Linked DNA regions of Alligator mississippiensis. The protein of the gene in region 4 binds, or shares a complex with, the protein of the main gene of each other region. Links are inferred from orthologs where the notes say so. Each region holds a gene or a part of one and is shown on either strand. Other genes may lie near its edges.

What was found.
Region 1: POLR1H (region 4) and UBTF share a complex: the UniProt entries of both Homo sapiens proteins name them as parts of the pol I pre-initiation complex. The link is inferred for Alligator mississippiensis from reciprocal best matches to the Homo sapiens genes POLR1H and UBTF.
Region 2: POLR1H (region 4) and POLR2K share a complex: the UniProt entries of both Homo sapiens proteins name them as parts of the pol I pre-initiation complex. The link is inferred for Alligator mississippiensis from reciprocal best matches to the Homo sapiens genes POLR1H and POLR2K.
Region 3: POLR1H (region 4) and RRN3 share a complex: the UniProt entries of both Homo sapiens proteins name them as parts of the pol I pre-initiation complex. The link is inferred for Alligator mississippiensis from reciprocal best matches to the Homo sapiens genes POLR1H and RRN3.

Annotation. Positions count from the first base shown.
Region 1 is NC_081827.1:159,407,653-159,415,605, reverse strand, and holds the start of UBTF (nucleolar transcription factor 1), read right to left. Parts: upstream 3,011-7,953; 5' UTR 2,920-3,010; intron 2,717-2,919; exon of another isoform or gene 2,627-2,716; intron 2,197-2,626; exon of another isoform or gene 2,107-2,196; intron 1,629-2,106; exon of another isoform or gene 1,545-1,628; intron 651-1,544; 5' UTR 568-650; coding exon 510-567; intron 1-509. UniProt on the Homo sapiens protein: Recognizes the ribosomal RNA gene promoter and activates transcription mediated by RNA polymerase I (Pol I) through cooperative interactions with the transcription factor SL1/TIF-IB complex.
Region 2 is NC_081826.1:38,817,564-38,825,336, reverse strand, and holds the start of POLR2K (DNA-directed RNA polymerases I, II, and III subunit RPABC4), read left to right. Parts: upstream 1-4,763; 5' UTR 4,764-4,865; intron 4,866-5,001; exon of another isoform or gene 5,002-5,102; intron 5,103-6,195; 5' UTR 6,196-6,227; coding exon 6,228-6,288; intron 6,289-7,773. UniProt on the Homo sapiens protein: DNA-dependent RNA polymerase catalyzes the transcription of DNA into RNA using the four ribonucleoside triphosphates as substrates.
Region 3 is NC_081836.1:42,573,634-42,580,462, reverse strand, and holds the start of RRN3 (RNA polymerase I-specific transcription initiation factor RRN3), read right to left. Parts: upstream 3,011-6,829; 5' UTR 2,855-3,010; coding exon 2,765-2,854; intron 2,395-2,764; coding exon 2,338-2,394; intron 1,224-2,337; coding exon 1,134-1,223; intron 1,048-1,133; coding exon 918-1,047; intron 598-917; coding exon 538-597; intron 1-537. UniProt on the Homo sapiens protein: Required for efficient transcription initiation by RNA polymerase I (Pol I). Required for the formation of the competent pre-initiation complex (PIC).
Region 4 is NC_081834.1:54,008,892-54,015,727, forward strand, and holds the start of POLR1H (DNA-directed RNA polymerase I subunit RPA12), read right to left. Parts: upstream 3,021-6,836; 5' UTR 2,978-3,020; coding exon 2,848-2,977; intron 2,747-2,847; coding exon 2,646-2,746; intron 2,180-2,645; coding exon 2,070-2,179; intron 1-2,069. UniProt on the Homo sapiens protein: Core component of RNA polymerase I (Pol I), a DNA-dependent RNA polymerase which synthesizes ribosomal RNA precursors using the four ribonucleoside triphosphates as substrates. Can mediate Pol I proofreading of the nascent RNA transcript.

The DNA.
Region 1 (7,953 bases), on a different chromosome or scaffold from region 4:
AAAGTTAGTCCTTTTTTTTTTTTAAAAGCATCTCACTGGCCGTTTGATTCAGCCAGGCTTGTTGCCATGTCTGCAGCTCGACCAAACGAGTGTGGGGTGGCATATTATTAGGTTTATCACTTGCTTTCAGGGGCCAATATGAAGCATGAAACAATGTTTTCCAGCATTCCCGTGAAAGGGCTAGGAGAAAGAATGGTGTAAAGACCAAATCCGTAACAGGATCTGGTCAACGTACTGGGCAGGCTCTTAAACCCAAACTGAAGGTGTCCTGCTAATTTCTAAGCATGCTAGGAATGGGTGACGCTGCTCTCGCAGCCCCTTCCCCCAGGCGGTTATGCAAGTGCTTGATTTCACACACGGGAGCGTCCAACTGGAACTGCTCACGGGCACAAAACTGGGCGAGTCTTCCAGAGACAGCTGGAAGGGAGGTGTAAAGGGATCTCAGCACCCGGGTCCCTTGCATAGCTGGGGGAGAGCCAGGCATCCTTGGGCAGCGGGGCTACTCTCACCTTGATTTTTGGGAGCTGTCATTTCCAAGTCCGTAGGGCACTCCGCTTCTCCGTTCATTCTCCACCTGTCTGACCCAAGGGCAGTCCCTTCTGGGCCTCCTGGCTCCTTCCGAGTCTACCTTAAATCAAGTAAGCTTCACTCTAAAAGGCAAAGGGAAACCCGAGCTATAAATGGCTTGCAAAAAGCCCCTCTGCTTGGAAGAGGCATAGTCAAGGGAACTGAAACCCCTTGCCCAACTCCAAGAGGAAGCCTTTCCCAGTCAAAAGGGAAGAGCTGGAGCGCACAGCACCCCTTCACCTGCTGGTGAGTGAGTGGAGGGTGGCTCCCGGGGGCCGGGTCGAGGCGGTAGCCCCCGAGGGAGAGCAGTGGAAGAGCCCAGCCACGCCAGGAGGTAGGAAAAGCCACCTCCTGGGAGGCACCCCCCCCAGGCTCCTCCCCCGCCCCCAGTCTCGGCCGGGCACACCTGAGCGCCCGCGGGGTCCCGCCCCTGCCCCGGGGCCAGGCCGGCGGGGTGGGGGGCGGCGGGGCGCCCCCATGCAGCAGCAGGTAGGGCCTGCAGCGCCGTTGCGGGGCCGGGCCGGGCCGGCAGGGGGGAGCCAAGGGAGGCGCGCGCGGGGGGGCGGGATCCCGGGCGGGGGGGCGGGCCCGCGGGGGGGTCCCGCGCGGCGGGGGAGGGACCGCGGCGCGGGGGGGCGGCACGGCGGGGGGGCGGGAGGAGGGATCCCCGCGGGCCGGGGGAGGGGGCAGGGCCGCGGGCGGGCCGGATCCCCACATGCCCTGCGCAGCCCCTGCCCAAATGCAGTTGCGGCCGGCGCCAGTCTCCTCCTCCTCTTCCAGGCAGCAGCACCCGGCTGGGACCGACGGCTCCGGCAGCTGCGCCGCCCTCCCCCACCCCCTGCGGGCCGACGAGGCGGCCTCCTCTCCGCGCCGCGCCGCGCCCGGCCTCCGCCGCAGCTCCGGCAGCGCCCCCCGCTCCGCTCCGCGCCCGCCCCCGGGGAGCTGCGGCCCCCGCTCCGCCCGGCCCCGGCTCTCACCGCAGGGCGCGCGGCAGCTGCGGGCGGGCGGGCGCGGCTCAGCAGGGCAGGGCAGGGCTGCGCTGCGCCGAGCTGAGCTGACTCCGCCGCCTCGGCGCCGGCTGCGGGCGGCCCCTTCCCTCCCGCCCTCCCTCTCTCTCTCTCTCTCTCTCTCTCTCCTCCCGCCCGCCCCTGCTGGCTCCCCGCTCCCGCCTCGCCCGCTCCCTCCCCCGGCCGCCAGCGGGGACAGGCGCCGCCTCAGCCGCGCGGCTCGGTGCCCGCCGGAGACAGCGGCGCGGGGCCGCCTCCCCCGCGCCCTCCCGCGGCCCGGCCGGGGACAATGGGGCCGCCGCGGCTCCGGGCTGGGGCCGGGACTCGCGCCGCGCCGCGCGGGCGAACAATGGCTGGCGCGGCCGAGGCGCCGGAGCCCCGCCGCGGCCCCGCCCGGGCTATGAGCCGCCGCGGCCCCGCTCGGGGCCGGGCAGCGCGTCCTCCCCGCGCCGGCCCCGGGGAGCGGCGCCGCGGCCCCCCCCCACCCCAGCGCCGCAGCCAGGGCAGGGCAGGGACGCGCCCGGGCACGCACCTCCGGATGGCGGCGGCGAGGAGCCGGGCGGGCGGGCGGGGATGGCGACCTCAGCAGCTCCGGCGCGGAACTAGCAGGCTCGGGAAAAACAACCGACCGCCCAGCGCTGGAAGCCTGCCCCCGACAGCCAGCTGCAGCCGCCGGGGAAGGCGGGCGGAGGGAGGGAGGGGGCAGCGCGGAGGCCGAGCAGCCGCCTCGCCCTCGCGCTCTCCCCCCTCGCCGAGCCCCCGTGCGGCGCCGGGCCCCCCGCAGGCGGAGGCACCGCCGGGCTGCGGCGCTGGGCGCCTGCTGCTGCTGCTGCCGCCGCGGCTCCCGCTCCCCCGCCCGGCCCCTGCTCCCGCTCCATTTCCCGCCGCAGGGTCCGGCCGCGATCGCCGCCACCTCCACGGCGATCCGACCTGATCCGATCAGATCCGATCCTCCCCGCCGGGCCGCGCAGCGCGCGGGGATCCGGCTCGATCCCCCGCGCGGCCGCAGCCCCGGTCCCCCCGCTTGCAGCCGGCCCCGGTCCCCGCCTTACCGAGCAGCGGCTGCGAGCTGGAGAGAGCAGCAGCCGCCGGAGCCCGCCGGGGAGGAAACAAAGCGCCTCCTCCAGCCCCAGATGGCGAACCAGAGCGGCGGGTAATGGCGAGCTCCACATGCGCTCCTGCTGCAGCAAAGCAGCCCGGTGCAGCAAGCGTCGCTTCGGATCGTGCCTTCTCCCCCCTCCCCCTGATCCTTCTCTCCCACCCACCCTCCCTTGCAACGGGGGGCTGCATCGGGCGCGTTGGCTGCTGGAGGTCGGAGGGGGCTTGGCTTCTCCACGGCACGTACCTGCAAACCACCCGGGCTGGAGCAGGGGCTCGGGGGCTGCCTTTTTGGGTGCTTTAGCTGGGGAGCGCTGGTTGAATGCTGGCCAGCTCTGCAGCGCTGGCCCCGGGCGTGGACTCGCTCCAGTCCCCGCAGAGAGATTGCACTTCCCCCGCCTCCATCTCTCTGCTTTTTTCTTCCAATCAGCCGGGCTCTTTTCGCTCCTGGATCCTTAGCCAACCTCACAGCCCTTCACAAGTCTCCACTTTTCCATCTGCTCCCTAAGCGGGATTGTTAGGGACAGGCTTCTCCTCTCTTCTTTTAAACTCTCTCTTCTGGCTCTTAACGGGGCTCTCTGTGTCTCTGCCTCTCTCTATGTGCGTGTGTGTGTGTGTGTTTTTTATTGCTCTTTGCTTTTGCAACACCAGCCAAAAGAAAGGAGGAGGGAAAAGGGAGAGAGAGAGAGCGAGGCAGAGAGAGAGAGAGAGACAGGAGGAAAAAAAAATCTTACATTAGCAACAATCCTCTTCTGACACTTCCAACAGTCCTCTTCTGGCGTTGGCAGCAGGCACATGAGCCACCAACAGTCCCCTTCGCTTTAATTTCAAATGCATGGCCGGAAAAAAAGCATAAAAAGATAAAAAGGTTTGGGTTTTTTTCCAAGTCCCACCTAGCACGGAAAGAAGAGAGCATTCGGGTTTTCCCTGCGAAGTTCCGAGGCCCGGGCCAAGCTCTGGCACCAGCGCACGGGGAGAAGCAGAACTTACACTGCAAGTGGCTGCCTTGTAAACAAGCGCACAGGGAAGAAGACAAAAAAAAAATAAGGGGGAGTTTTGTTGTGTGTCTCTTGCACCAGGAAATGCACGTACAGACTGAAGTGCGATCACACTCGTCTCCGGGCTGCGTGGCACACTGGGCTTTCTTAACGAGACCGTGAAATTGACACACTGGTACATTTCACAGCCAGAGGGGCGGGGAAGGGGAGAGTTTTCCTCTCCTTTTTTTCCTCTCTCCTTCTCTCTCTCTCTCTCTTAATTTTTTTAATGTAATTTCTCCAACTCCACCTTTGTTGTTATGGGCGTCATCTGCTGCTAGCCAATCCCCTGCCTGAGCTCTGCCTGTCAAATTAATGGCAATCCCAATAAGCAAACCGCTCCTACAGACAAAAAAAATGCAATTAGGTGTTATGAGCTGTTGGGGGGGGGGGGGAGGACGGAACGACGACCTAATCTAAAATCCGCAGATTGAGAGGAGGGGGTGCATGGCTTCCGTTTCTTTACCAGTGCAAGGATTCTTCTCTCCTGCAATTGCTGTTGTGTCCTGTTGCATTGGATATGCATCAGCCACGAGGGATCTTTATATAGAGAGGATAGTGTGTGCGTGTACACACACATATGTATATGCACACAGATTTATGCACACACGGTTTTATATATATTTTATTTACATAAGTACACACACATTATATATGGAAAATGGAACGGTGTATCAGATGGTCCTGCTAAATGTACTACTGTTTTGTCCATTTATGATGATTAATTTAAAGAGCTAGTGACTAGGGAGAACCTATTTTAGAATCAATCCTACCCAGGATGTTAGGAAACCATGCTTTTAGAGAGACCCCCCCCTCCCCCCACAACCCCTTGGAATTATATACTTGTCATAGGATTCCTGAATGTTTCATTTCCTGCTCTCATGTTGTGCTGTTGAGGTGTGCTAAATGGTGGCTCACCCAGGAGCTACTCTGTTTTGGTGGAAAAAAAATAGCAATCCTCTTGGATTAAGCCTTACAAATTGAAGGTTTGTGCAGTTTGCATAGAAAAGGCCAGATCATTTTTTTTTTTAATCCAAGCAATTCACGTACAGGCAAATGGGCCTGTATTTTTTAAGGCCTATAATTAAAGGTTGCAAGTGCACATTTTAATAGATATTAGAGGTTGGTGAGAAGTGGTTTGCCTATCCCACAAGAGATTTCAAAGTATTTTCTTGTCCCAATGTGTGATGGAAAGTCAAATTTTGGAAGATATTTTTAAATGATTAATCTGGAAAATAACTCAAATTGTGTCAGTTCATAAGTTTCAGTATTTTCATCTTTAAATCTTTTTAAAAAAATCTATATTAATTAAAATAGCTACATTAACATCATTTCAAACCAGAAAAAAGATTAACTGTTTTGCTTGGAAAAATATCTCATTTTGACAATGTAGACATATTTACTACATGGATTTGGTTTGGTTTGTTATTTTTTGGTGTGGGTTTTTTATTCTTAGTTCAGAAAAAGGGACTCTTTTTTTTTTTTTTTTGCAAACAGCTTTCAACAAATTAACATTTTATAGCAACAAAAAATGTTCTGATGGAAAAGTCTAGCCCACTTCTAGAAAAATGCATCTCTAACTACCAGATTTGCATCAGAGCATGGCAGGCCTGAAAATGTGAGAGTACAATTTTTGCTAGCAAAAGGAATGCCAGCCAATTGCTGAGACATTTCAGTAAAGCTCTGGGATTCCCCACAATATCCTCGGTCAAAATTTTCCTCCTGTTGCTGCTGCTGCATAACAGTGTTTGGCTATTGTGATCAGTTTGGCTATTATACTCCACTCCAGATGCAGCTTCCTTTCAGCGGTGCTTACTTTATAGAGGTTTTGTGATGGAGGGCCACAAGTAAAGGTGGTGCATGAATATGCCATTATAGCCCCCACTACTTATAAAGCTCTTTGCATTTAATTTGCATTTTTGCACTCATTTCAACCATTGTGCTGTCAGGTATGAAATGGGGTGAATAGAGCTGTGTAGCCCATGTATAATGTGTAACAATTCCATCAGGGACCACCAGGGCTAGAATTAGAGCAGCCATACCCAAATCCCCCCACCTCCATTGAGCTTCATGCTGGTATTAAGGATCTACCAGTACAGAGCTCATGAACAGATGAGGACCAAAGCCTTTTTTTTTTATTTACACATCGTGTATAAATCCACTGGTGCCAGAGTCTGGGTGAGAGTGGGGCTAAGACCTAGTTCTTAAGTGACATCACCCTAGAAACTCCTTAGTGTCATTATCCTCTTCCTGGTTACAGTTAGAGGGCAGATTGCTGTATAAATAGTCTCACCTAGCTGCAGAGCAGCATCAGGTGCAAGCGACAAGCTGACTGGTTGCAGAGCCAGCTAGGCTGAGTATAAAAACCCAGGCCTTAGCCTACTCAGTATGTTCCACACTGTAATAACTCAGCCTTGCTCTAGCTTGGAGCATTCATATTAACCTATCCTGTCCTCTGTTTGGACTCTCCAGTTCCTGACCTTTGGCCTGACTTGGACTATGAACATGGATATAATTTGGGATTAGAAATGTGACTTTGATTATCTGCTTTTGACTCCCTTGGCCTAGACTGTGGATCTGGATTCTACTGGCTCAGGTACTTGGCTGACCCCACCCTCCACAAGACTGCCCATGTCCCCATCCTTACATTACAGTCACCTATAGAGAGGAGTAAATTACCAGTACTTGGTACCTGATTACTGAGACAATGTTTCTTCCTTCAGGGGAATACAAACTCTTCCCTCCTCATATAAATTAATTAACATTCATGCACTGCTTTGAGAATGTGAAGCTCTTTATGAGTGTCAGGGCTGTCGTTATGGGGAAGACCAAGGGATGAATCTACACTGATGGGCAGATATTAATAATTCTAATAGTAGTAGTAAAACTTATCAATTACTGCTATTAAATATTCACTATTTACAAAATTCATTAATATATAAAATGTTTTGTATACTACTACAATAATACCTAGCAGTTCCAGGCCCCAGTGTACTCACTGCTGTACAAGCAACACAAAGTTGGTCCCTGCCTTGAAAGAATTGTCGACAGCTTCAGATACAAATCTCTTTTCTTGTGTGTAACCTTTGAGGAAAAAAAAGGTTCAGAAAAGCTGACACATGGCAAAGTGCAAGACACTCTACCTTTTGTACTCGTGCCTTTGTTTTGAGTAGATTTGATGTTTCTGGCCACTGGAATAGCATGGATATTGGCATAACTGCAGTCTGTGAAATGTTTCCACTCTTCTTAAAAGGTTTTGGTGAATGAAAGCAACATGTCCTAATGGGTGTCCTGACTCTAGTTGCAGTGCAGTGTCCATGTCCTTCTTCTGATTGCCACTTTCCCTCCTGTGCAGACCTGAGCAAGTCACTTCTGTTCCATTTCCTCCTTCCAAGCCCTGTGCCCCATTCTTGCTTGGGCTTTTCTCTATTGGGAACATGAGCTTTTGGGGGCATTTATGTGGTACATAGCCCAATAGCTACCTATGCTAAGCTTGGGTCTCCAGTTCTCTCATAATATAAATACTAACAGCAATACATTTTGTACCCAACATATGATTCTCAGCTGATCAGTCCAGACTGGCCTACGCTACCAGTTATGAAACATCCATTTGTACACAAATCAAGTTGCCCAAAGGCTGTATTATTCCCCCAAAGTTGTAATCAAAAGCCCTGCTGCTGTGACCTGATTTGTGCAGCTGGTGTCCTGCACTGAAGCGGAGTTCAGCTGCTTCTTCTAGGAGCTTGTTGAGGATGCAAGGGTCTATCCATTTGAACGGAGTTACAGCATCAGAAACAAAACTCAGGTGTCCAAGGCTGTGAGCCTGCAAACACTTATGCACATCAATAACTGTGAGCAGAACCCCTATGTTTGCTGAAGCTAGTCAGGTGGAGAAACTTACTCATAGGTACATACATACGTGTTTACAGGACTGGGGTGTAAAACAATTCACAGCATCGCTTGCTGTCAGTCGCTGTTGGCAGGAATACCACCTCCTTGTATAGGATATGTAGGCCAGCTTCAAAACTTTAATAGCAAACCTCAGTAATTGGCATTTCAGCTTTCCACTGTGTTGGACATTGACAGAGATGATGGCAGTGGGTATCAGATTGGTATTGTCAGCATGTTTTCTCTGATAGCAATCACATCTTATCCTAATTTTTTTTATGTATTTAATGCAAAACCTATGTCTGAGATCTGGAAACTTGAACTACTTTATTATGCTAAGCTTGTTAAGCCTACTC
Region 2 (7,773 bases), on a different chromosome or scaffold from region 4:
CACTACATACTGAATTATAATGCATAGTTCACATTTTGTAGGGTTCTGTACACATCATTTGTAGTAAAAGTATATTTGGGCCTGAGAATGAGAGAGCAATTGGTATTTTTTCACCATAGTTTAAATGGCTGCAGATATGGTAAACATTTACGTTGTTGAAAAATGAACTTTTTTATAACAAAACCAATCGTGGCACTGAAAACACATAATTATTTCTTTGTATCTTTGTTTTAATGAATATAGGAGCATATAGTAAGACCTACAAGAAAAAAGTATTTACCTTAAGCTCTATCAGGCCTAGAATATACACTCTTGAACTTCTGAAAATAAAAAAAAGTTCAGGCAAAGGAGACCACTCCTCTCTGGGTTAAAATTCTCTGGTCATGTGACAATGTCTGAGTCATCTGATTGTTTTCCTCAGGATATGTAGATTAGTTCAGGTAGTTAAATATGTAGCAGAATTGCTGCTTTGGTGTTTGTTTGTTTTTTAATTAAATACTTACAAAAAAATTGTGCAAGTTTACGTTCAATAAAGGCTTTTCTCTTCTCTTTCCAAAATGAATAATGTTAGTGGCCCAGTGTTCACTGCTTTCTTGATCTCTCTCTGTGTTTTATCTTCAGTGGGCCCCATGCTGTTAGGAATAACAATACAAAGACTGCTGGTACTGGCATGCTTGCCCCATTGCTGGGGACTGGTTTGGCCCCTGTAGCAGGCAAACTGAGTTATGCTCAGACTCTTAGCATAACTTTAGGCCTTTCTAGAACTAATTAATTAAATTACAGAGTGCTTACAGAGTGACTGGGAAAAGTGAGTGCTGTGATTGGTACGGTGGGCTAACCAGGTACAGTTTCCCTATAAGGAATGTGCTTGGCACAGTGCCAGTGGAATGATTGGCGCACACACCCAGCAGAGGATCTTAAGTCAGTACCCCCGAAGGTTGCTGTTGTAATGTCTAAAGAAACTGCTTACCAAGTCGTATTAGAGGGAGGAAACTTGTAATAAATAATTACACCTATGACTTAGTGGGGCTAACAGAGACCTGGTGGGATTCATCCCATGACTGGGCGGTACATATTGAGGGCTATAGATTGTACAGAAAGGACAGGTCGGGGAAGAAAGGGGGGGGGGGTTGCACTTTATGTCAGTGAGCAATATACATCAACCCTCATCAAGACAGAATCTGAGGTTGAGGAAGTAGAAGGATTGTGGGTTAGGCTACATGGGGGGCAGGGAGAAAGGGATTTGGTGGTAGGGGTCTGCTACAGACCCCCACACCAAGGGGAAGAAATAGATGCGGGGCTCCTGAGGCAACTCTCAGAGACCATAAAAGCTAAAGAGGCAGTAGTCATGGGGGACCTAAACTACCCGGACATCTAATGGGAGACGCAGACAGCAAGGTCCCATCGCTCACGCAGGTTTCTAACCTGTATACAGGACCTCCACCTGACACAGGAGGTGCATGGTCCCACTAGGGGGAATGCCATACTGGATCTGGTATTGGCAACAGGGGATGACATGATAGGGGACCTCCAGATCGGTAGCCATTTGGGAGACAGTGATCACCTAATAATAGAATTCAACATAAGACGGCGAGTGGGTAAGGTAACTAGTAGGGTGAAAGTGCTAGACTTTAGGAAAGCTGATCTCAATGCACTCAGGCAATTAGTCAAGGAAGCACTGCAGAGTAGGAGTTTTGAAGTGATGGGAGCCCAAGAAGGGTGGCTGTGCCTTAAGGAAACGATCCTTCAGGCACAAAGCAAGACGATCCCCGAGCAAGGCAAAAGAGGGAAAGGGGCCAGGAGGCTTCCCTGGCTGACCACAGAAATCCAGGGCAGCCTAAGGGCCAAAAGGGGAGCACATAAAAAGTGGAAACAGGGTGAGATCACTAAAGATGAATATACCTCCTCTGCTCGTGCTTGTAGGGAGGCAGTTAGGCGGGCCAAAGCTACCATGGAGCTGAGGATGGCAACCCAAGTAAAAGACAACAAGAAATTGTTTTATAGATATATTGGGAGTAAAAGGAAGGCCCAGGGAGGAATAGGACCCCTGCTAAATGGGCAGAAACAATTGGTGATGGACAGGGGGGACAAGGCTGAACTCCTCAACGAGTTCTTTGCCTCAGTGTTCCTAAGTGAGGGGCACAACAAGTCTCTCACTGGGGTTGTAGAGAGGCAGCAGCAAGGCGCCAGACTTCCATACGTAGATCCTGAGGTGGTGCAGAGTCATTTGGAAGAACTGGATGCCTTTAAATCGGCAGGCCCGGATGGGCTCCATCCGAGGGTGCTGAAGGCACTGGCCGACATCATTGCAGAGCCACTGGCAGGAATATTCGAACGTTCATGGCGCACGGGCCAAGTCCCAGAGGACTGGAAAAGGGCTAATGTGGTCCCCATTTTCAAAAAGGGGAGGAAGGAGGACCCGGGCAACTATAGGCCAGTCAGTCTCACCTCCATCCTTGGTAAAGTCTTTGAAAAAATTATCAAGGCTCACATTTGTGAGAGCCCGGCAGGGCAAATTATGCTGAGGGGAAACCAGCACGGGTTTGTGGCGGGCAGATCGTGCCTGACCAATCTAGTCTCTTTCTATGACCAGGTTACGAAACGCCTGGACACAGGAGGAGGGGTGGATGTCGTATACTTAGACTTCAGGAAGGCCTTCGATACGGTATCCCACCCCATACTGGTGAACAAGTATTCACCAAGGCGCCCCAGGGGGTTACAAGAAACAATGGCCACAAGCTAGCAGAGAGCAGATTTAGATTGGACATTAGGAAGAACTTCTTCACAGTTCGAGTGGCCAAGGTCTGGAACGGGCTCCCAAGGGAGGTGGTGCTCTCCCCTACCCTGGGGGTCTTCAAGAGGAGGTTAGATGAGTATCTAGCTGGGGTCATCTAGACCCAGCACTCTTTCCTGCTTATGCAGGGGGTCGGACTCGATGATCTACTGAGGTCCCTTCCGACCCTAACATCTATGAATCTATGAATAGAGATTGCTATTGAAGTTCACTAGACACCACGTCGGATGAGCTGCTGCGTTAATCCTTGGAGGGCTCTGACAAAAAGAATCCTAGGGTTATCATCCCCCAAGACTGGTTCCTAACCTTTTTAGAGTCAAGGCACCCTTTCTTAGACTCAAAGCACCCCTCAGAAAATGTCAGCTCTTAGTTTTCACTGTTTTTTCCACCAGAGGGATATAATAAGCAACTTTTCTGTTGCGGTGAATTCAGAAAGCCCACAACAGGTCAGGATGTATTTAACACTATGGATTCCTATTTGAAATCTCTGGATTTATCTTGTGAATCATATTTGCACATTTCACAGCGCTAACACACAGTGGCAGCCTTGAAAAGATCTCAAGGCAGCCAAGGCACCATTGTTGAGCATCACCAGTCTATAGCGTGGCGCTTGCAATCACACCACAGGTGCTTTCTCTATGACTTTGCTGTAAAAGGTACTTAGGTGCTCATTTGGGTTGGGGATTTATTCATACAAATTCTATGAATGCAGATTTTCCTACACGCATCGGTTCCACTGTATTCTTTTTTCCACTCAGAAACTGTATCTCGCTAAATTAATGGAGAAGCCCTGTAGAAGGGCACTTTGCATCCAAATGCTGGTCTAACATCTTTTTGAACTATACAGTTAGTCCAATAAAACGTATCACCAAAAAACTTTGTTTCTCACATATTTCCTATACCAGCAAGTCTATAACACTCCAACTCTACTACTAAATTATGGGGAATTTCTAACTACACTGCTATTTCCCCATTTCTGTGGCCTAAACCAATCCTTCTATATAAACTAGAATGCCTGTGTTAGTATGCTTATAAAATTAATGTTATTGTACTGTATAGGACCCAGGAAAGAGAACTGAGATACTCAACTCCTTAGCTCAATTTTTTCCTTTTGAACAATTAAAGGTTCAGTCTTGGTTAAATGCACAGTGATCTTTGCTTTTAATATTGAAAGCTTGGTAAATCCTCTAGTGCAGGGATTCCCAGACTGTGGTATGTATGTGTAGCCTGGGGTAGGGGGGATATGGAGAAATTGTGTAATGGCAGATTTAATTTTCATTATAATTGGCATTTAAGGGGTTAAAATATAAAACATGCTGGTACAGCTATGCAGGCAGCTGGTAAATCTGGAAGCGGGGGCACAATAAGAAAAAGTTTGCAACCCCCCCACTGTAGTAGGAACACTACTATAACAATGGCATGGGCACAACTGGTACCAAATAATGAACCCCCACAGTAGTAATGGCTTATTTACAGCTTACTTCAAGGCAGTACAATAAAATGAACAATACAGTTGATATATAACAATAACATGTATATAATTTGCTAAAAACATACAGTGAAAGTAATAATTCTACCAGTTTACTGCAGAACCCCATACACCAAAAAAGCTCAGGAGCCAGCCCCTCCATCAGTGATCTGTGGGCTGGAAAGGACCTCAAGAGTCTTCTAGTTACTCTCTTCCCCCGCCCCCAAATAACTTGCACTTGTTGATTCGCATTAAATAACACGCGTGGGGGCTCTTTCTGGTTGCATTCTGGACCTTTAGGGCGCTCTTGTTTCCTGCGCCAAGCCTTTCTCCACACCCCGGAGTACTACAACCTGACTTTAAAATCGAATTGAAGGAAGGAAGCCGAGGCTCTCAGAAGCGGGGCCGCAGAAAGGCCTGGCTGTCACGAGCCGCGGGACCCGGGCGGGCTGCTCGGAGAAGCAGACAGCGGGGCGCCGGAGCCCTCCGCAAGCACGCGGCCGCGCGGGGACCGGGCAGGCGCGGCGGTGGCTCCTCCCCGGCAGCGGCCGGAAGCTGCCGTGAGGCCTCATTCATCGCTGTCAGGACGGGGCAGCGGCGGAGGTAGGGCATGGGCTGTCTCCCCTCCTTGGCGGCAGGCGCCTGCTGCGCTCTGGCCCTTCCGCGTCCCCGCTGCAGCGGTGGCGCCGCCCGAGGCCTCCCGCCTCCCCCTCCCCGCGCGTGGGGCTGCCAGGGCAGGACTGGCTCGTCCCTGCCCCGCGCCGCCGCGTGCTCAGAGGCACCGCCGGGAAGGCCCAGGGGGTGGGGAAGGGGGCGCCTTTGAGGAGGATGTGACCGAAGGTTGGTCTTGGAGATGGCGCCTGCCCCCGGCCAGCGGAGGGTTGTTCGGGGGAGGGGGCCCTGTTGGCACCTTGTTGTCCTGTAACGTCCTGGGTTTTTGGTCTATTGGCGGCCCTTCCCAGCTGCTCTGTACTCTTACTCCAGCTCTGTGTGTAGTTAAATGTTCCCTGGGGTGGGAGGGTCAACCTTTTGGCAGGCCTGCCATGCAGCCTCCCCAGGTTGCCACTCTGATCCCCCTCCTCTGCTCTGCTTTCTGTTCCAGGCTATGCTCCCTTGTTCTGCTGCCCTGCTTCCTTCCCTCTGCTCACTGCATGAGTTGTTGCTTTGCTTTCTGCTCCCTGCCCTATCTGCTGTGCCTGGCACACAGAGGCTGCCCATGCCACTTGTGGCACCTGTGCCACGGGTTGGCCACCCCTGCTTTAGAGAGTGGTGTTTCTGTGTTCACGTATCTTCTGTATGCTAGGGTATCGCTGCCTGCATTCCCTCAGAGTATCGGGGTGTCAGAGTGGTAGACTGGAAACGTGGATCCCCACACTGGTGATGATGCATGATTGTATTGTGAGAAAAGCTTCAGTATAGCTATAGGTTAGATTGCAGTGGCAAAACCTGGCCTACAACAATATTGCCTGTGGTTTGTGACCTGCTTGTTTGACCCAGGTATGTTATGTTTGCAGGTGTTTTGCTTTTTAGCAATATTTGTATAGGTGCATTGTGGAAAGGGAGAAGAGCTTTTGCCTTGTGCTTCAGCAGGGAGTAAGCATCCGGAGGAGAGGTACACAGAGCAGCATTATCGCTGCGAGATGCCTAAGGTTGTCCTGCTCCGTGATAGACAAAAACCCAACCAAACAGCAATTTGAGCCAGTTACAAAAAAATAGCTTCACGCTAGCCTGGATTTCATACAGGATTGGAAAACTGGCAGCAAACCATGTTCTGGTTTCTAATTGGGTAGAAATGGTGATAGACACGTTTGGCTCCCATGATGCATGTGTGCATGATCTGAAATGTGGAGTAGGAAGGGTCTAGATTCCCTGTACAGAAAATAAGGTTATGCTGTCTGTTTTCTCCCCTTTTTTTTTTTTTTTGATAAACCAGGTTTCTTACATTTGGCTTTTTAGTGACAGAGGATGGATTCTCAAAAGGATGTTCAGCCACCAAAGCAGCAGCCAATGATTTATATCTGTGGAGGTAAGAGTGAAAACAAATGTTTCAGTAATATCTGATGCACATAAGAACAGTCCCTTACTGGTTGAAAAAAGTTAACATTCTCTGAATAGTTTTCTATTTACCAGGATCATTTTGGGAAGTGGTGGTGCATCCCCCAGAGGGAACATGCATTTCCCCAAGGGCAAACAGCAGTGGCAGGGGAACACCTGCAAGTGTGGGGCGTGTGGTGTCTGTGGCACTGCATACTGTACAGCTGCACTCGTCTGGATGCATCTGTTTAGTTCTCTTGATGCAAGGCACAAGATTGCACATTTTGGTCTTCTTGTTAAGTGTTTATAATAATCTGTTTATAGGGAATAGGTGTTGGCATAAAAGATGGCTTTATAAGGATTGCTGTAAGGCTAAAGATTAATTGAAGCCTTGAAGAAATACATGTCCAAAAAGAATAAATTTAGTTTCCAACAGATGAAGAAGATTAAAATAATTTATTATTAAATTATTATTATTACATTTATTATTAAAAACCCTAATAGAAAGAAGAAATAATATCAAATGAGGCTATGGGAGGACTTTGTAACTGCAGGGAATAATAATAATAATAGCCACTTTTTTGGAAAGTTATAGCCAAGGGGTTATAACTATAACAATTGAGTTTAATTCCTGATGCTTATCTTTCTGAACGTATGTGAACATCACTTGTATTAAAAAAAATAAGTTCAACAATTTAACTTGCAGTTGATGAGGAAAGTGATGGTTACCTGGTGAATACAAGCAGATTATTAACTGGACTCTGAGGCTGCTTGCAGGCATTAAAGAAATACAAAAAAAATCAATGTTTTACTTTGAACTCCTCATGTCCCTACACCAAGCTCGGTGCATGTCCAGAAGAGGTAACGCGTTAGTTGGACCTAGCTCGCCCAGTGTCTTTATAGATTGGGTGCTTTAGTGGGGGGGGTTTGGCACTGTTGTCTAATAGCTGATTGAATGTTAGATAAAAACGCCAGAAAGACCTGATGAAGCACCCAGTCTATATCCATGCTGCAGAGCTGGGATGAAGTAATGTGCTGCTACTTCTGCATGCTTTGTTTTGTTTTTGTCTTTTTTTAAAACATCTGCAAGCAGCCTGAATGCCAAGTAAAATTATAGTAATGAGTAATGGAAAGGGCCCCAGTCTTAATCCCCCCCCCCCAGAAATTGCCAAGGAATTCTGACAAAAAACGTAATAGTATTATTTTAGGAAGTATTGGAATGAAACTATAATAGTTCTAACTTTTAAAAATGGTGATGAGAGAGATCCTATAGTATATCATCCTGTTAATTTTATGTATATTCCAGCAAAAATATTTAGACAGTGTTATTTTTTCACCCCACCTACAGAGGTGGGGCAGGGGCAGGAAGCAGAAGCTAGAGAAGTAATGGGAGACTGGAGATCCCACCCCAGCAGCAGCTGGAGTGTTGGGTTGTGGGGGAAGTGTCCAGGTTGGAGTCTGCAGGCAGCCAGGTGGG
Region 3 (6,829 bases), on a different chromosome or scaffold from region 4:
GAGAGGTGGCGGAATCTGTCTTTGGAGGGTTTTACGGCCCAGCTCAACAAAGCCCTGGCTGGAATGATGTAATTGGGGATGGTGATGATTTGAGCAGGAGGCTGGACTAGATGACCTCTTGAGGTCCCTTCCAACCCTAATTTTCTGTGATTCTATGATTCTAAAATATTGCTAAAAGTTGTCTTCAACCTTTATATCAATACTATTCAGTAAAAGACTTATGATACTGAAAAAAACCCAAATCTACCCGAATAAAATTAACAAATGTAATTCCATATCATGACACTAAAGCTTTGAATAGAAAGTCAAATTTCCCAAGCATTCACCTCAAAGGATTTGGAAGTAGCCAAGGTCAGGTGATGATGCACTTAATTTCAATAGGAGTAATGTGCATTCAAGTACATGGGGTCCTCCTACTCTTCAGCATGCATGGGTTCATGCAGATTTTGTACCAATACAATTACATTACAGCAGCAATGAAAAGTTCTGCATAAAGGAAGCAATACAAATAGCAAACCATGCTGCTTGAGTACTCACTTTCTTCATCATCATCAGAATCTGAAAAATCCACACCATCTTCCCTTACGATTACTTGAGCTGTTAGGAAAGAGAACTATTAGTGCATAACTATAAAAAGCATAGAGATGACAGCCACAAGTTAAAGCATCTTCAGAACAATATTTTCACCAGAACTACCTGGTGAAAACCCACAATATCTACAATACATCAAAACAAGAAAAGAAGTTTTCTTCTACTCAAGAAGCCAGAAAAATTGTACATGCTGTTATCTAGTTTTAAGCTAATTTCTTATAAATTTCTTACAAAATTTGACCTTATACAAATTCTCTTACTCCAAGTTATTTTAGTAAAAAGAGTGTGAATTATCCCATTTAGAATAAAACGAATTACAAACTTACAAGGTACAAAATGTGAGACAACCATGCGGAGGCAGGGTCTAAGATAGATACTTTGTGCTGATACCAGGTTACCCAGAAAATCTAAATATTCCTCCACCACATCCTGGCTTCTTTTCAACCATGGCAGCTTCTGCAGGCAGTTAGAACAATGATGTGAAATATACAGACATTTTGAGATTAAACATTTATTTCTATATATTATGAGTGGCTACTTACCAACAAAATGCTGACCAGCTCCTCCACATCTTTTGTCAAGTATACAACAGAAGCACGGAATTCATGCAACCAGTTAATGATCTGGGCATCCTTATATAAGCAGACAATAAAATAGAGCAATTGCATTAATATAAAAACCTTTAAAACCCAAATAAACATGAGAATTATGATTAGGGAAGCAGTTTCTACACCAGCATGTTAGGAATGTCACCCAGCACCCTTCCTCCTGCACAAGGCACACCAATACCAGAGTGGAGAAAGGCAGAAATTGCAAATCCACCCATAGTTGCTGAACACAGTTCTCTTTCAAAATCCAAGATGAGTGGATTTATCACACTGAACGTAATAGCTAAGTAGGGGAACTACGTAGTACTCTAGACACTCCTTGTAGTCCTAAATCTAGTCCTGGTCCTCCCAGCCGCTGGGCACAAGGAACCCTTGGATGTATCACCTATCCGTTCTCTACAAGGAAGCAACGTTGTGCTCCAACTGTCAATTAGTTGTTCCTAAAGTCCTTTGCCCGAAAGAAAAAAGCCTGACAGATCTTATTCCAACCATTCTCCTTAAATAGACGTGGGCGCACACCTGTGATCCTCTTCCAACCTTCTCAAGCCTCTGCAAAACAGTTACTGCAAAAAATGGACAGATCTTGTCTCTTACCGATTTTCTGCAACTTAGTCATACGACTAAGATGATGGCATGTACAAAAGTAAGCAAGTAAACACTTCTTCAGAGACTTGAACAAGGTCCAACAGGATTACACTTGGAATAGGTAGAATAGGATCACTCCCAAGTCTGGAGCAGGTGCTGAACTGAAAGGATTAGTTTAGAATTATCAGGGAATTGCCATGGAAACGCAGCCTAACACTCTGTGGTCTGGAAGGAATGGAACATAAGCTGCCACCTGAAGAAATGTAATAACGGTCTGACTCCAAGTGGAGCGCTCTCAAAGAGGCGAGGAGGGATCAAAGGTGTAGCTGATCTGGAAACTGACAAGACTTCTGTCACTGCAAAGTTAACACAGAGCAAAGATATCTGAAAGATAAGAAACCCTCCCTGAAACCTGATCAAGCACCAAGAAATCTATTTGAGGGGGGTTTAAAATCATGTTTAAAACACAATGGCCACACTCTGCCTCATAATTAAATGTACTCCCATGAAACAACCACAACTATCAGAATCCCCCATTGCAAAAATGTCTCACCTTTATATCTGGATCTGACAGCTGATGCTTTAACAACTCAAAGTCAGCAGTTTCTCCCTAGAGTGAGTGTGAAGGGGAAAGAAAACAGAGGCACATTCGGTTTCCTGCGATCCCGGAGCACAGCTCGGGCCCCGCTACCTAACCCATCTGAAACACAAGCTTCCTCTTCTGTTACTAAGGACAGCTTGGAAGACCCCTGGCAAAAGCCAGAAAAGCCATAAAGTGGCAGCAAGAGTCGCAGCTTCTCTCTCCCCTGCTCTACTACTAAAGTCTGGCTGGTGCTTCTCCCTTCTGCCCACCCATCCCCTACGTTTCCTCAGAGAAGCCCGAGGAAGCAGCCCACCAGCACCCCCGGGACCGAGGCCGATGGGGGAGGGAGCAAGAAGCAGCTTTTCATCACCCCCGAGACAAGCCCAGGCGCCGTCACCTGCTCGTGCTTCAGCAGGACGTCCCTCAAGGTCCCGCCGAACCGGACCGTTTTCCTGAGCGGGGAGCCGAGGAACGCGCCTCCCTCCATGGCCGCAACGGTCAGACCGGCCGCCTCGCGTGCAGCCCACTGCTGGGGGGGCGGTAAAGACACCGTCACCCCCTCCCGCCTCAGCGCCCCCGGCCGCCGGGCCCGCCCCGCTCCTCGCCGCCAGCCGCGCGGCCGGGCCCCGCCATGCCTCCGCCTGCGGGCCGGAAACGAGCACTGAGCCCCCCGGAAGTGACGCACGCCCACACTACTAGTCTAAGGTGGCTGGCACGTTGGCCATGCGGCCGTTCTGGTTTCCCCTCTCGCTGCCCCTCGGAGGACTAGGGGCGGGGATCTTGGCCACGCCCAAGGCGCTGGGGGAGGTGACGTGTCTTCTCCTCCTCTCCCCTCCCCCCCCCCCCCGGTTTTTTCCTCAGAAGTGTCCGGGACCCCCTCGCCCCCTGGTCTGCACCGCCCGGCTCCTTCCCCCGCCCCGTGTCCGAGCCTCAGTGCCAGGGAGCTGGGCCCGGGCCCGGGCCCGGGGCGGTTCCCGGGGCCCAGGGTAGCAATGTGAAGCATCCCGTCCGCAGGGGGGGGCTTTGGGGACCTTCCGTCCAAAGGGAAAAGGGGATCTCGGACCACAACGCTCCAAAACTACTGTGCCTAAATTAAATTTAAAAAAAAAAAGTCATGATAATAGAACCGCAGTTTCCATTATTGAGCAAAATCACATCCTGCCAGGACTGAAAAGATTTGAGATCCACCAGGAAACATGTTTGTGGCAATCCAGACGCTACATTATAGGTAAGGACAGCTAATGGCCTGAAATGACCTCTGTAGGGGTAATAAGTTGTAACAAAATAATGTTGTACGTAAGACATACACAAAAACTAGATCTCTTGGTTCCAAAATGAGACTTTTTATTAGACCAAGTGGGAAATCGCAAGAAAATTGTCCTTTTTCTGCAAGCTTTCAGGATCAAAGTCCCTTCATTAGGCTCTGGGAACAGTACAGACGATACAAGATGGTAAAAAGTCCCCATGGGTAGGAAATAGACTTCGTTTTTGCACAGAGGGAGCTGAAGTCACACGGCTGTCCCTCCGGGTCCATGACAGGGTCTGTGAGCTGTGCTGAGCAGCTCTTTGACGTGTAGGTCTGGTAGATCTACGCGTCACTTTGTACTTACAGCACACTTTCTAGATGAACCCTTGCTCCCTGCCAGTCCTTTTGTAGCATCTGATAAAGTGAGCTGTTGATTACAAAAGTGAATGCATCTCTGACTTAGTCTATAAGGTTTCTCTCTGCCCTGCCTTCTGCCTGGAGTAGGCATGGCAGGCATACTACAGCATTCTGGCAACCAGTATAAAGCCATGCGACTCTGGTGCCTTTCCCACTTTCAGTATTTAAAAAACACACCGCTATTTATGATGAAATATCATTGAGTACGCTTGCTGGAGAGGCAAGCTAGCTGTTCATTTCCTTTAAACCCAAAAGAACAAATAATACTCTTATTCTCCAGGTAATTCACCTAAAATAGCTCTAGCAATTTGCTAGATTGTGCCATAGGCTTTGTTCTTCAGTCCATTATATCTTTGGTTACTACACTTCAGCAGGTATAGGGCAGTCTGTTTTGAAAGAAAGTACAGAACATGCAGTCATTAGAAGTGGTCTGACAAAAGTTAGCGCTCTCAGTTCATTTTCTGGTGGATAAATGTCCACATAAAAAGAACAAGTTGAAGTAATGACTATTTGCAGCAAAGTTAAAAAGATTGAACAGATCAGGGTGGGCAAAATGTGGCCTGTGGCCTGGATGCGGCCTGCCAGGCCATTCTATCCTGCCTGCGGGGCCCCTAAAAAATTTAGAAAATTAATATTTATTTGCCCCTAGCTGCCTGTCATACGGCCCTCAGTAGCTTGCCAATACTCAGTAAGCGGCCCTCCGCCTGAAATAAGTGCCCGCCCCTGGAATGGATGAACTACTGTATTGCAAGGAAATGGTTACAATATGGTTGATTGCTGATTTTACAGCATCTTGTAGACAGAATCAAACTGAGTTCCTTAACTGTGTTTCCCATGGGTTTCTCTTCGCTTTGTTTTAGGGTTTGTCTTTACTGAAAAATGGAATCGTTCTGCAATTAGGTTGGGAGCAACCATGTTCTAAACATGATTCTGTGCGTTCTGCCATGGGTAGCTGTCAGAAAGACACCTAACAGCTTGACCTTTGGTCCTTCTAGAAGGATCACACATAAGGAATTGTAAGGGCAGTGGGGCAAAGTTTGCAATGTCACTACACTGACACTGATAAAAGAAGTGATTTCAGTCATGAGCCTGTCCCACTAGCACAGGCTTGTCCAACATACAGCCCGCGGGCCGCCATGCAGCCCACCAAGGCATGTTCTGCGGCCCGTGGTACCGCGACAGGAAACTAAAGTAAACATGGTTTACTTTTGTTCCCACCCCTTGTCCCTCCCCCAGCCCCTCAGCAGCTTCCTAATGGCTACTGAAGGGCTAGGGAAGGGACAAGTTTCCCACACGCACTGGGTCAGCATGGCACGGCCGGGGGCATCCTTTGCAGGGACTGGACCCCTCCCTGGCCGGGGGCGGTGCAGGCTGCGGCTGCTGAGCGGCCCCGCCCGCCCACCCGCCCCGACAAGCCGGTGCCCATCCAGGCGGCCGCAACCAGTGCCGCGGGACTGCCCCACGCAGGAGGCCAAGCAGCGGCCGGTGGCACTGCTGGCCCATGCCTGCCTCCTCACCCGCCCGCTCCAAGCCAGCCCCGCTACCCTGCCCTGCCTCACAGCAAGGCGGTGCCTGCTCCCCTGGCCAGACTTCCCCCCGGTGCTGCGGCTCTCCAGGCCCGGCCGCCCATGCGCGAGGCCCCGAGGGGGCTGCTTCTCATGTGCTGCTGGGGACCGGAGGAGCCTGGCTGGGTCTGCACCAGCCAGGAGAAGCGGTGGCGGAGCCACATGCCACTCGAGACGGGACGAGCCTGCACCGGTCAGTCCCGAGCGGCACATGGCTCCACCGCAGACCTGGCCGGCCTCCTCCTGTCTCCAGCAGCACGTGGGAAGCCGGCTTCAGCTGCATGCTGCTTTTCCTGGTCGGTGCCGACCCAGTTCTGCCTAGGCGGGTCCTGCAGGAACCATGTCAACCCGGGCATGGCACCAGGTCTGACTGATATTTTTTCCACATTTGATCTGTTGACGTGCATTATGCTTCTTTCATTCACTGAGAAGTGAGTAGAAGCGAAAGTGTTTATTTTAGTCATGTGTTTGGTATTATTTCATTCTTGCTTTTATATCGTTTTTATTTTAGATTTTAAACCACATTTCCAGACCCATTTCATTGTCACTTCCTGCAACTTCATTGGTGTCAAAGGTCACGGGACCTCACTGGAAGACGTCAAACATAGTTGAACTTACAGCCTTATTGGTCATTCTGAATCAATTTCTCGGTGCCTCCACAGAATGTCTAAAATACTTGCATAGAAGTTGAAAACGGGTATCTTTGAATGTAAAGGTTCTTGCCTATTCAGTACTAAATTACAGAATGCAAGCTTTATAAAAGTCCTACATTTCAAAATAACCAAGGAAGCTATTAATTTTTTGTCAACTATGAGGCAAACATTTTTTATGGACCCTAATTAGTCAACTCCTTTGAAGATTACCTTTCTTTGCTGCAAACTCTTTAAAATATCGTGTTGACTATTAAAACTATTTTTACTGGATTCAGTTTCCTAAACTAAACTACAAGGCAGCTTTTAAATTATGACAACGGTTTGTGCTTGTACCCTATGGCTAGATTGTCTGAAAAACATAGTTTTAAATAGGCAGACAAGGTTCCTTGGGTGAATTTGATATCTTTTATTAGACCAATCCAAATGGTTGGAGAATAGTTATTAAGCAAGCTTTCAAGTTCAAAAACCCTTCGTCAGGCTAAGGAAGTGTCAGCACTTGGTGTGTGCTCTTCGTGGATGGAATGAAAAGTAAAGAGGCCAGGGGCTGGGCTGGGCTGGGGAGTCAGTTGCCAGGCAGATTA
Region 4 (6,836 bases):
CAGATCGAACCCCCTTTGTTAGCTTCAATTTATTGATAGATAAAATATGTGAGGTCTCGTCTACGTGGTGCATTTTCTCCATGGTGCAGAAACAGATTATTAGGGTGGCACTTGTAAGTGCATCAGTAAGTTCTGCCCCTCAGTGCAGCACTGTCCTGTGCTGAGCAGATAAACCCTTTGGCTATGCCCAGATGAAAGCGGCTGTGTGGTAGGTGGCACTGCAGACATCTGCATGCCACATACGGCACGTTTAATTGTTCTCCGCACTGCAAGGGAGCAGTGTGGAGGGTTTTTTTGACCATGAGTCAAAAAAATCTGCGGAGCAAAAAGGTAGAGCAGTGCACGCAGGGGTAGTGCACTTCGCTTAGAAGTGGAGATGGGCTGCCCGGAGCCACGCTGCAGCTGCCGGCCAGAATCACTGTTCCTGCAGTCCTCGGAGGCCCCCAGGAAAGACTGCTGGGGACAGCCCAATGCAGGCCCCAGCCTCCCCTACCACCCCTAGGTAACTCGCGACACAACACAGGCATTCCTTGGGGACAACTAGCAGTGGTGCAAGGCGTGCTGCTGCTGCTAGTTGTGCCCCTGCTAGTTGTTCCTGGGGAGACAAACGTCCACATCATGCATGGACGCAGCCTTTGAGGCCCATCTTGTCCTTGATAGGTTGGTCCTTGGTTGCTCTGAAGGCAAAATTTTTAGGACTGGTGCAAATCTCCCCACAGAGGCTTAAAGAATCTGCAGGTGGGGTGGCAAACTGGTCTCTTGATTATTCACTGTAGCTGAGAAAGTACATAGGAAGCAGTGATCCCGCCAGTCTGCAGAGACGCTGTGCCAGTCAGCTCAGATGTCGCATTCAGATACGAACTGCCTCCCTTCATCTTGGTGGGTTCAATCTCAGATGCCAATGACAGATCATTCTATGGTAATTATGTCCACCATTCCCAAAGCATGGAAGAAAGAGGAGGAGGAGGAAGAGGAGGAGAAGGACTGTGCCATGAACCCACTATTTCCCAGTGGGGAAAAGCAGGGAATGCAAACCTCTGGCTGGAATGGGGAGGAAGGGAGCAGAAGGCTAAATTAAGGTGTCTCCACTGTGGGCTTGCTTTGGACCATTTGCCTCATTCCAAATTCAACTTTCAAAAGGGTAAGAAATGCTGTCTTCTAGGTCGGCATTTCTCAACCCATGGGTCGTGACCCAAAAGTGGGTCACATGAATATATGAAAGGGTTGTAAACAAACTTTTAAAATGGATTCTCCTTTGAAGGAGCAAAACGTGGGGAACTATGGCTTTTCCCTTGCAAGCTGGCAGAGTTCCAGCCTGCAAGAGGCTGCCTGGGGCCCCCCCGTGCCCCACACCCACTCACTCCGTGCCCCACACACTGGGGGACTGGGCATCAATGTTTAAAAATGGGTCCTGGTACAAAAAAGGTTGAGAACGCAAGTTCTAGGTGACCAGTGATGTTCACTGGTCACCAAAAAACCTTCAAAGAGAGAATAAATATCTTGCTGTTTACACAATGAGAAGATATTATTAAATTTGGCCTCGAAATTCTTTCACTGAAATGTCACAGGGCTCCTATACAGACATGTGGAGCCTGCTCCAATGCACTGGAAAGCCAGCGTGTCAGAGCAGACTTAGTTCACTGAGTCTGCTGGAACACAAAAATCGACGTGCTCCAGCAGCCTCCCGTGCCACGTGCATCAGCATCGCTATGTCTCCATGCTGAAAAAATGGTGGCTGAGTGGTCTGAATAAAAGCACGTTTGATAAGCTGTCATTAAAAGCGCCCTGCCATTTTTTCAGAGTAGCGATGCATGGTGATGTTGATACATGCAATGCACAGACACTTTTAATTAGCATGGCTTGCTAATTAAAGCACCCAGCATTGCATCCCACAACGTGTGTAAAAATGCCCACGGTTTCTGGTGAAAATCTGAATCTCAGCTTTGACTGATGAAACAACTAAAATCCAGGCTGCTCCAGGACAAAGCTGCTACTCCACGGACTGCAACTTTCCTTTCCTCTTCCCTTCCCCCACCTCCCATAAAAGACACCCACGAATGGCTCCTTACTTGCACTCAGCACAGGTGTAAAACACAGTCTGCCCTTCGTCTGCCGACCTCATTTGCCGGGTGTGATACACCATGCCCTCGTGGCCACACTGGGGGCACTTCCGGTCGATCTGAAATCCCAAGGAATCAATTGTCAGCTTTCCCGACTAGAGAAGAAGTAGTATTTCCTCTCTACTCGGTGCTGGCGAGCCCCCAGCTGGAGCCCTGGGCCCCGTTCTGGGCACCGCGCGTCAAACAGGACGCGGAGAATCTTGACCGGGCGCAGAGAGGGGCCACGGGAACCACGACGGGCCTGGGGCGCCGGGGCGGTAAGACTCGCTCTTTTGAGGTCCCTTCTGGCTCTTAATTTCTGGGATTTCCTGCCTGAGGGAGGCCAATAAGTGAGGTGGTAGGTCTCAACTCACACCCCTCCTGGTGCCATCAATCTGAAAGGGTCACCAGAGCCGAGGCAGGCTCCCAGGGTTACGGGGCAGACGTCACCGGCGCGCTGAGGCCCCTCCGCACGGGGCGATAACCTGCGGGACTCCCCGCCGCAGGACGCTGCCGCACCGCCCGCCCGCAGAGACCCCCACTCACCACGGGGCCCTTCACCTCCTGCCCATCGCCCCCCGCCGGCACAGCCGTGGCCCCGGGCCTGTGAAACTCCACGGATGACTGCACCAGGCGGCCTTCAAAGTCTGCAGGGGGGAAAGGTCATTAAACAACTGTGGGGTGGGAGGGGGAGGGGGACACGACACAGGTTGGGGGAAGGGGCCGAGCAGCCCCGGGCCCGGCCCACCTCGCACGGCGATGGCGAAGTCGCAGCACACGCAGGTGACGCGGTCCTGCACGCCGGGCAGGGGCAGCACCGTGCCGCACTCCGGGCAGAAGTCCGGGCCCGCGCGGAAGGCGGACGGCGCCGGCTCCATGGCGCACGCGCGCCGCCGCCGCGCTCGGAGCAGGCAACTCCCGGTCCGCCAGAGCACTAGAGCTGCAAAGGAAGCGCGCGCGACAGAGCGTCTCCATCCAGAGCAGCGGCTTTCCTTTCCCTTCCTTTCCGGTCCAGCTCTAGTGTCCTCCTCCACTTTCCCCTCCCCTCCAGTTCCGGCTCATCTCGCTCCGCGGTGCGCTGCTCACCCTCTCGGTGTGCGCTGGAGTCTCCAGGGATTAGCTAGTTAATTAATTAGCTCATTAGTCACCCCGTGGGGCATGGCCTCCAAGTGGGTCGCAAGAGTCTATTATTATATCTATTTATAACATCTACTATTCTATTATATCTATTTATTATATCTATTATTTTATATATGAATAAGTGACACTTTCACAATGGAGTCTCCTTTAAAGGAGAAAAACAAGGGAAGCCGGGGCTTTCCCCTGGCAGGCGGGCACAGCTCCAGGCTGGGGGGGGGGGCGGTGCTTGCAGCCACCTGCCCCACCGCACAGACTGGGGGCTGGGGCCTGGGGCCGCGGGGAGGGAGGGACAGGGGCCATTGAAGTTGATGTTTACAAACAGGTCCTGGTACAACAAAGGTTGAGAACCACAGGTCCAGGAGCCGGCTGAGAGCCCCCGAGGAGATAAATGCTATGGGGCAGTTTGTGAAGTCATTTCCCCAAGGGAAAAGGCGGGAAATACTATCACGTGGGGCACTTAAATTTAGGAAGGGGCAAGGACGGGGAAAGAAAACCTTAGAAGCAAATATGCTGCACTGAATCAAGAGTTGACCTTGCACCATAGAGCCAAGAGAAAGGAATAAATAATAAATGTTGAATCTGATATATGCAGTAGTCCAGTGGGTTTTTAAAATGTAAGAGGAAAGTGCATTTGCCTTCCTGACCATGAACGATGTGCCCTGCGGAGGCTGGGGGGCACGGCAAGCTCCTGCAGGTGGTAGCGGCGGCGCTGTTGGCGGCAGGAGGGTGGCAGAGGCGGGTGTGCAGCTCCCGCAGGCAGCCGCAGCGTTGTCAGCAGCAGGGAGCAGGAGACGCCGACCAGTGTTCAACCACCCGCAGACACCGTCGGCAGCAGCCAGCAGCGATTGCAGACCTCCCATAGATGCCGCTGGTTGTCAGCAGCGAGGGTGGGGGGATGGCGAGCAGCGACCAACAGCAGGCTTTTCACAGGGGGTGCACTGCCACGCTCAGGGGATGCACGTGCACCCGTGTGCACGCCCTACGCATTGCTGATGTTTCTGGCGTAAAGTCTATGCGCTGTAATCCATAACTGATCAACGCAAACGCACAGGCATGTTTGCATTGTGTGTCGCAGGCACACTGGTGTTCCAGAAACCTGAATTGATTCAAACACAGTTGGCAGCCCTGCATGTTGGCACATGGTGACCAGCTGTCAGCCGCCATGGTCTGGGTCTAGGGCAGTGGTTTTCAACCTGAGGTCTGCAAATGCCTTGGGGGCGGCAGACTGTCTAAGGCAGGAGTGTCCAACCTTTTTGAATGTGGGGCCGGATCATGAACATTTTATCATCCAGTGGGCCAGTGAGCCATATTCAAAGACCTCACAGGAAGTGACATCACATCAGGAAGTGATGTCACGTGACCTTTGACACCAATGAAGTTGCAGGAATTAACAATGAAATGGGTGTGCTCCGCATGGGAACTTACCCCGTGCCTCCGTCCGCCCTGGCCTGGCCCCGAGGCGCCCCCAGTTCCACGCGGGAACTTACCCCGTGCCTCCGTCCGCCCCAGCCCGGCCCCGAGGCGCCCCCAGTTCCATGCAGGAACTTACTCTGTTCCTCCGTCCACCCCAGCCTGGCCCTGAGGCGCCTCCAGCTCTGCGCAGGAACTTACCTCGTGCCTCCTTCCGCCATGCATGCGGGCAGGGTGTGGACCATGCTGCAGCTCCCCAGGCCACATGCCGGGGGCAAGGGGCGGAGCCCACCCCCAGCTCATCCAATCAGGCGCGGCTGGGGCAGCCCCACTCCGTGCAGCCCTCGGGGCAGCTGCAGCAGGACCCGGCTCACTGATGAGCTGGGCCCTGCGGGGGTAAGCAGCTCCCCTCCCCTCACTGCCGGCTGGGGCCTGCGGGCCGGCCCTGCCCTGCCCTGCCCTTCCCGCCTCGCTGCTGCCCCGACGCGGCGGCTCTGTGCTTCGCCGCCGCCGCAGCTCTGCGCTCCACCACTGCGGCTCTGCGCTCCGTGGCAGCAGTGGTGGCAGTGCTGCCGCCGCTGCGGGCCAGATAAAATGGCTTGGCGGGCCGCATGGTGACCCGCAGGCCGTATGTTGGACGAGCCTGGTCTAAGGGGTACACAAAAAATGACTGATCAATCAACCACATGTGAATACACACATGTACAGGTCAAAGTGGTTCACATGTCCGTTCAAAATATTTTAGGCATCTGCAAATGAAAAAAAGGTTGAAAACCACTGGCCTAGGAGCCCATGAAGGTGTGTGTGCAAGGCTTAGTCTACACCAGACCAGTCCTGTGAGCTGGATGTCTCTGGGTACAGCTCTGCTGAGGGACGGGGACCCCTGATGCCAGAGCACCTCTTGCTGAAGGGATGTGATGCCACAAACAGCAAAATAAGCCCTTCTGCTGCCATGTGTCTCCACTAATGTCTCTGACACCTTGGAGATGCTGAGCCAGCTGTGGCAGCACCTGGCCTGTGATGTAGGGGATCTCTCTGTCCTCGTACCTTTCTTATTGAACAAGTATCTAGATTCTAGAGTCTCTGTAGCTGTTTTGAATGGCAGCGTGTGAAACAGCACCCTGTGACTCTTCATTTCCAAATGAGGCAGTTGACGTTTCTGCAAGGGAGGGATACTGGAAACAGGCAGAATTGATTTTACCCATCCAGTTTTTGTCAACTGAAAATCTGTCACATGGTTTGCTTCCTTGCTACATGTCACCTTCACTATTACTGTCACCTGAGAAGTAGGTGATTAATCCTGTGCCTGATTGAGAAGCCCTGACAGGAGGGTGAGGTGCTAGACCTACTCGCCTGTCACTCTGATCCAGGGTGAGTATCTCTCAATCGCAGACCCCCTTATATGAGCCCAGGACTGCACTTGGCATCACCTGGAATGACTTCAGGGTCCATCAAATAAAGTGATCCAACCTCTGCTTGTGGCAAAGGAGATCCAGGGCCAAGAGCCCTCTGCAAAGTCAGGCCATCACATCAGGGCCCCTTGTTGGACAGTCCTTGTTGCAGCATGCTGGGCTCTAGTGTAGTTCTTCTCCCAACTGGGGGATGCAGTGGTGGGGGACTCTGAGTTTTATTGGGATTGCTTATTATTTGTGACAAGCCCCCCTGCAGATCTGACGGGCCAAAAATAATTTTTCTGTCTGTGGCGGGGAACACATGGGGGAGCCAAAATGGGGAGATAGTGGCATCTCTTCCTACAGAGAAAAATAGCCAATGTTATGGTCAGATACATTTGCTTCATGGATTGGCTGGCCAATAATAAGGAGCCTATCTTGGGGTCAGGGACCCAGAGGCCTAAAGGCTGAGTGAGTTAAGTCAAGGCTGAGAGGGTGAGGCCACAGGTAATGAAAGCAGCCTGGCCTGTGGTCAGGGACCCAGAGAGCTAAGGGCTGAATGAGTCGGCCAAGGCTGAGAGGGCCAAGACCAGAGGGAGAGCAGTGCAGCTTGGGTTTGGGGACTCAAAGGGCTGATGGGTGGCCCAGAGTGTGAGAGTTGGCAGGGGCCCAGGGCCCAGAGTGCACAAGGTAGGGGCCCAGGGCACTAGACCTGGACTGAAAGGTGCATCCAGAATAAACGGGGCAAGGCCGGGAAGGCTGAGTCTTTGACAAAAGTCTGGGGCCCGAAGGCCAA